Linked DNA regions of Oryctolagus cuniculus. The protein of the gene in region 2 purifies or fractionates together with the protein of the main gene of each other region. This does not show direct contact. Links are inferred from orthologs where the notes say so. Each region holds a gene or a part of one and is shown on either strand. Other genes may lie near its edges.

The links. Proteins that work in one complex are often made in the same cells at the same time.
Region 1: the proteins of CAMKV (region 2) and NAF1 purify together in Homo sapiens (affinity purification with mass spectrometry; 3 studies listed by BioGRID and IntAct, with this or other methods). This does not show direct contact. The link is inferred for Oryctolagus cuniculus from reciprocal best matches to the Homo sapiens genes CAMKV and NAF1.

Annotation. Positions count from the first base shown.
Region 1 is NC_091439.1:133,990,915-133,994,566, forward strand, and holds part of NAF1 (H/ACA ribonucleoprotein complex non-core subunit NAF1), read left to right. Parts: intron 1-2,833; coding exon 2,834-3,279; 3' UTR 3,280-3,652. UniProt on the Homo sapiens protein: RNA-binding protein required for the maturation of box H/ACA snoRNPs complex and ribosome biogenesis.
Region 2 is NC_091441.1:99,398,237-99,401,249, forward strand, and holds part of CAMKV (caM kinase-like vesicle-associated protein), read left to right. Parts: intron 1-1,007; 5' UTR 1,008-1,021; coding exon 1,022-1,116; intron 1,117-1,223; coding exon 1,224-1,355; intron 1,356-1,507; coding exon 1,508-1,582; intron 1,583-1,765; coding exon 1,766-1,904; intron 1,905-2,041; coding exon 2,042-2,162; intron 2,163-2,299; coding exon 2,300-2,375; intron 2,376-2,459; coding exon 2,460-2,596; intron 2,597-2,757; coding exon 2,758-2,836; intron 2,837-3,013. UniProt on the Homo sapiens protein: Does not appear to have detectable kinase activity.

The DNA of each region.
Region 1 (3,652 bases), on a different chromosome or scaffold from region 2:
GTCTTCTGCTAAATCCATGATTCATTTTGAATTAAATTTTGAATAGAATGTGAAGCTTAGATCAGTGTTCATTCTTTTACTATGCATACCTATTTATTCTTGCACCATTTGCAAAAAAAAGAAGTATAGTTCTTCCAATGAAATACTTTTGAACCCTTGTCAGAAGTCACTTGACTGTATTTCACTGTATTTACGTTGGTATATTCTGTGTCAGTGATAGTGTTTCATTGACTTATTTGTCTACGCAATGTTTTTTTAAGATTGATTTATTTTATTTGAAAGAGAGATGGAGACACACACACACACACACACACACACACACATTCTATCCGCTGATTCACTCCCCAGATGGTCATGTCAGCCTTGGCTGGACCAGGCTGAAGCCAGGAGTTTCATCCAGGCCTTTCACATGGGTGCAGGGGGCCAGGGACTTGGACCATCCTTCCCAAAGCTCATTATCAGGGAGCTGGATTGCAAGTGGAGCAGCTGGGACTTGAACCGTTACCCATATGAGATGTGGCCCTGCAGATTGCATCACAGTGCCCGCCCCCTGGCAGCAGTGGACAAGAGATCACAGTGCTTCATATCCTCACCACTGTTTGTGCTACCACTGTTGTGAATTTTGGTCATTCCAGTATGTGTGTAGTGATGTCGTTGTGTGCATTTCCCTAATGACATACAATACAGATCTTCCTCTTATGTTCTTATTTTCCATCTTTGGTACGTATCTTTGCCTGTTTTGTGCAACAGTTCTTTGTTAGATAGTTCTTTTGTTAATTTTTCTGAGAAGCAGGAGGAAAAAGGGAGAGAGAAAGGGAGAGAGTGCTCCCATCTGCTGATTTACTCCAGATAACCTTCCTCAGCCGGGAGACTCGAGCAGGGAGCTGGGAACCCCGTTCAGGTCTCCATGTCGGGGGCAGGAACCCCGTTACTTGACCACCACCACTGCCTCAGGCGTCTTCCGTGGCAGGAAGCTGAAATCAAGTCGAGCCAGAAATCAGACCCAAGTGCTCCAGTGTGGGGTGCATTTGTGCTGACTAGTAGTTAACTGCTAGGCCAACTACTGCCCTTCTCCTCGTTTGTGGCTTTTCTTCTTTTCATTTTGTATGTCCCAGAGCAGAAGTTTTTAATTTCAATGAAATACAGCTTTTCAGTTTTTTTTCACTATTGTCAATGCCCTGTCTAAAATCTCATACTCACTCCAAGTTTCATCTAAATTTTCTCTTATGTTACCTTACAAGAGCTTTATAATTTTACATTTTGAATTTAGGTTTGTGATCCATTTTGAGTTAAGAGGGTAAGGCCTGTGTCTATATTCACTTTTTTTTTTAAAGATGAGTTGTTTGTATGAATTTATTACTGGACTCTGTTCTGTCCTGTTGGTCTTTTACCAGCTGATTATTGTAGTTGTGTAGGTGAATCTTGACGTTTGATAGTGTTGATCTTTTAGTTTTGTTGTTCTCCTTTAGGATTATTGAGTTTTTAAATATCAATTAAAATTTTCAGTTCGGGGGACTGGTGCCGTGGCTCACTTGGTTAATCTCCGCCTGCGGCCCCAGCATCCCATATGGGCACTGGGTTCTAGTCCCGGTTGCTCCTCTTCCAGCCCAGCTCTCTGCTGTGGCCCAGGAAGGCAGTGGAGGATGGCCCAGGTCTTTGGGCCCCTGCACCTGCATGGGAGACCAGGAGGAAGCACCTGGCTCCTGGCGTTGGATCGGCACAGCGTGCCGGCCGTGGCGGCCATTTGGGGGATGAACCAGCCAAAGGAAGACCTTTCTCCCTCCCTCCCTCCCTCCCTCCCTCCCTCCCTCCCTCTCTCTCTCTCTCTCTCTCTCGCTGTCTTAACTCTGCCTGTCAAATAAAAAAAAATTTCAGTTCAGTGATTCTTATTCTTTTTTAAAAAAATCTTCTTTTTTTCTGAGACTTTTTAAAGTATGTTCATCATTTCTTGATGCAGCATTTTATGGCTTTTAATATCTTTCTCAATTCTAATGTCTTTGCTTTGTCTGTCTTTTTTCATTGAGTTTGAAACCTTCCTGCTCCTTTTTATGATATATTGGGTGTTGAGACTTTGGGTCTTACGTGAATCATCTGTTTTGGCTGGGTTTGTTTGTTTTCTTTTTCTTAAACACCATCTTGTAGGGAAACGGAAAGGAACAGATTGAAGTCCAGCTTTTCCTCTTAGCCTCTGTTGGAAACACAGCCAAGGAGCTTTGTCACTGCTGGGCAAGGATAGAAGACTGAGGTCTTAGGCTGTGCCTGATAGTGGGGGTAGGAACACCCCTTCTCTGCCCGTACTCCCTCATGGTGTTCACTGACCCTGATGCAGGACAGCCTCACGACCACTAGGTGAGGATGAAGTCCTAACTGGACTTGGTCTGTGCTGCCGCCGCTCTAGTGCCAGAGGGGAGCAGACTGTGTTGTTGGTGGGGCGGATGTTTAGGACCCCCCGGCAGATCTCCACTGTCATTTTGGGGAGGCATTGATGCTGTTCCTTGTGTGGTCTGCTCTTGACATTAGCTGGCGGGACGGTTGGGGCAGCCCATTACAGTCTGTGAAGGAGGAGGCCGAGACTCCCCGCCCACCTTTCTGATTGTGGGTGGGGGTGGTGCCATGGTTTTTCTTGTTTTCTGTGGTTTTATCTGTCCTGATCCTTTGGCTTTAAGTTTTGCTTTTTTAATTCCCTTAAAATTGACAGTTTTAAAACTTAGTATTTTAACCGCCGTAAGATATACTGATAATTAAAGAAAAGAAATTATTGAAATTTCATACAGTATTTTTTAATATGTTGAATGTGCTTCATTGTATTTTCATGTCTTTTTCCCTCTAATAGGTGATGATTTTGCTGAAGTGCATCAGAATTGGAATGCTTACAGCTCGGCCTCAGAGCACGCGAAAGGATTTCGCAACAGAGAATTCACGCGAGGATTCGCCAGGGGCCGATATCCCCGACCTTGCCACGGCAGGCCGCCACCTCAGCAGTTTTACAACTCAGAACAGGAGACTTCAGGATATCCAGCTCAGAGGCAGGAGAATCCCATGCTTCCACAGTACCCCTTTCCTCCTCCAGTGTTTGACATGCATAATTTTTCACTTCCCCCACCACCGCCGCCGCCGCCGCCCCCATCTGTAAACATGGGCTGGGCTGCACCTAACGTGGCCCCTCATCCAATGCTCAACATACCCTACTCCCTGCCCCCGCCCCCTCCCCCGCCCCCGCTGCCGCCTCCACCGTCATCTGCGGATAGCAGTGCTCCTCATTTCGGATCTTACTATTAAAATTGTATGCATTTGCAGAGAAATGTGGACTTTGATAGTATATGGTAGGATATTTTATTTTTTAAGAAAAGAAAGTGATTATGGAGCTAGATTTTTAGAAAAACTGTAAAATACTGAATAATTCCTTCAGTTGTAGGTTGGTATATATTTATAACCTTTGTGAAATTGTATTCATCTGAAAATTTCTGCCCAAATTCTTGGAAAAATCCAATAATATAGTATTCCATTAAAACCTTTGAGCTATGTCTTCCTCCACCCTGCCCAACAGTATATATAGAACAGGTTGAGCACCTCTAAGCTGAAAATCCAGAGTGCTCTCAGATCTGAAACTTTAAGCATTGACAGGAAGCTGCAAATGGAAAATTGTACACCT
Region 2 (3,013 bases):
AGGTGGTCCAAGTGCTTGGGCCCCTGCTACCCATGTGGAAGACCCAGATGGAGTTTCACCTGGCCCAGCCCTAACTGTTATAGCGATTTGGGGAGTGAACCAGTAGATAGAAGATCTCTCTCTCTATCTGTAACTCTGCCTTTCAAATAAATAAGTAAGTAAGTAAGTATTTATTTAAAAAAGACTTAATATGCCATTGGGTCTAGCAGTAGCTCTTTCATTTCCATTGCTATGCCATTATGTGAGTATGCCACAATACACCCTGCTAGTAGATACAAGCATACTTTCTAAAGATCATGGAAAGTACAATTAAATGATAAACTTTTTTTTGGTACAAAGCTTTTCAAATCTGTTCCTAGTTTTTCATAATATACATTTTCCATTACCTGTTTGAAAATCCCCTGTATTTGACCTCTGTCCGATTTGGCAGTTATGAATGTAGCCACTATGAGCCATCTTGTACGAGTGTCCTGGTGCACACATGTCTGCCTGTCTGTGGCGCATCTGTGAAGGGGGGTGATGGCTGGGTCCTGGGGTGTGTTTGACATCTGTGGTTTTACCACACTGCTTCCCGATGGGGAGACTGGTCCTCTCCCAGCAGGGCTCATGCTCTCCACATCTTCACCAATGCTTGGGATCTCCAGACCTTCAGAAGTGAGTATCTGGTGGGTTGGCCATTATAGCCCTCTTCATCTGTGAAGCAGCTAAAATTTAGAGAAAGTCTTGGAGTCTTTTGAGTGTCAATAATGGCAAAACTATCCTCTAATACGACAGTTTAACACATTTTTCATAAATGGGGGCTATTGTAGTTCAGGAAGTCAAACTGGGTGTCTGGACTTATGACCCAAAAAGCAGAGGTAGGAACTGAGTCTGCCTGCTCTCGAGCCGCTCCTCGTGCTGATCTGCCCCTGTGTGGCCTGCGCCAGGCTGGGATTTCTCAAAGCAGCCACCATGTGGTGGGAGGAAGTGGGAGTGGCACAGCTGAACCGGACCCCTCCTGCCCACAGCTTATTGCCTGGCAATGCCGTTTGGGTGTGTGACTCTGGGTGACAAGAAGAACTATAACCAGCCATCGGAGGTAACCGACAGATATGACTTGGGACAAGTCATCAAGACGTGAGTGCTTCAGGCCTGTTGGGCAAGGGCGGGCAAGGACTGAGGAAGGGGGACTGGGGTGCAGCCCGTGCTCAGCCAGGGCTGAGGGGATCGCCTGTTGGCTGCAGCGAGGAATTCTGTGAGATCTTCCGGGCCAAGGACAAGACGACGGGCAAGCTGCACACATGCAAGAAGTTCCAGAAGCGGGATGGCCGCAAGGTGCGGAAGGCAGCCAAGAACGAGATAGGCATCCTGAAGATGTGAGTGTAAGGCCTGGGGAAAGGGTGGGCTGGCAGGGAGCAGGCAGCTGGCCTCGGGATTGGCCCGCCTCTGGCCGGTTAGTCTGCTGGAGCTGCTGCAGTGACCAGGGGCTTACCCAGCCCTGACTGCTGGCTCCTTTTCCTGCTGCCAGGGTGAAGCATCCCAACATCTTGCAGCTGGTGGATGTGTTTGTGACCCGCAAGGAATACTTCATCTTCCTGGAGCTGTGAGTGCGGGCCTGGGGTCAGAGAGGATTCCCCAGTCCCCGGGGTCTTCCCTCGTCCTGCCTTCTGCAGCTAAGGAAAGCCCCCTTTTCTGAACCCTTGGGGACCCAAATGCAGCCCACCCAAGTGCTCCTGCCCCACCCCCGGTCCTGCCCACGCCGGGCTCAGGGGCTGGTGTCCCTCAGGGCCACGGGGAGGGAGGTGTTTGACTGGATCCTGGACCAGGGCTACTACTCGGAACGAGACACGAGCAACGTGGTGCGGCAGGTCCTGGAGGCTGTGGCCTACTTGCACTCACTCAAGATTGTGCACAGGAACCTCAAGGTGAGGCCAGGGCCAGAGTCAAAGGGAGCTGGGCTGGGTTGGGCTGGGCTGGGTAGCACTTCGGGGTCTTGGTCCAGCCCCTTACGTCTACTCGTGTCTGCTTCTGGCCACCCACATGCCATTCCTGGCCGGGGCAGCTGGAGAACCTGGTTTACTACAACCGGCTGAAGAACTCCAAGATTGTCATCAGCGACTTCCACCTGGCTAAGCTAGAGAATGGCCTCATCAAGGAGCCTTGTGGGACCCCCGAGTATCTGGGCAAGCACATGGTGGGGCAGGGGCGGGATGGGGGCAGCCTTTCTGGGTGGGGGAAAGGGAGTCCCCATTCGAGGAAGTGGGTGTGGATGGCACTGGGCCTAGTCAGACCTGATACTAAACAGTAGCATTGTTTGTAGCCCCGGAGGTGGTAGGTCGGCAGCGGTATGGACGCCCTGTGGACTGCTGGGCCATTGGAGTCATCATGTACATCCTGTGAGTAGACTAGCAAAGCAGCCTTGCGGCCAAGTGGAGTGGGGCCTGTGTCTGTGCTGTCCTGGGTGACCCTGCCCCACGCAGGCTTTCAGGCAACCCGCCCTTCTATGAGGAGGTAGAGGAAGACGACTACGAGAATCATGATAAGAATCTCTTCCGCAAGATCCTGGCTGGTGACTATGAGTTTGACTCTCCATACTGGGATGATATTTCGCAGGCAGGTGAGGAGGTGCCCAAGCACGTGAGTGCAGAGCGGTGGGGAGGGGGCCTCTGCTCCCAGCTTCTTCAGCTGGATTCTGCTCCTGCCTCGCTGCCCGTTCACCACCTGTAGACAGTGACATTGGGGCACCCATGCCTTCCCCCTCCCTGGCTTTGTCCGCAGCCAAAGACCTTGTCACAAGGCTGATGGAGGTAGAGCAAGACCAGCGGATCACTGCGGAAGAGGCCATCTCCCATGAGTGGTGAGCAGGGCCCAGGGGAATGGAGAGGCCAGGGCTCTCTTGATTCCAGCCCCCCACCCCACCCCAACCCACACCTAGTAGCCCCATCCTTGAGGCCCTGAGTGGTGACGGCAACCAGAGCTCAGCTAGCCCAAAGGTTCTGAATGGCTCTCCCGGGATCCCGGGGGAAGGGCTGGG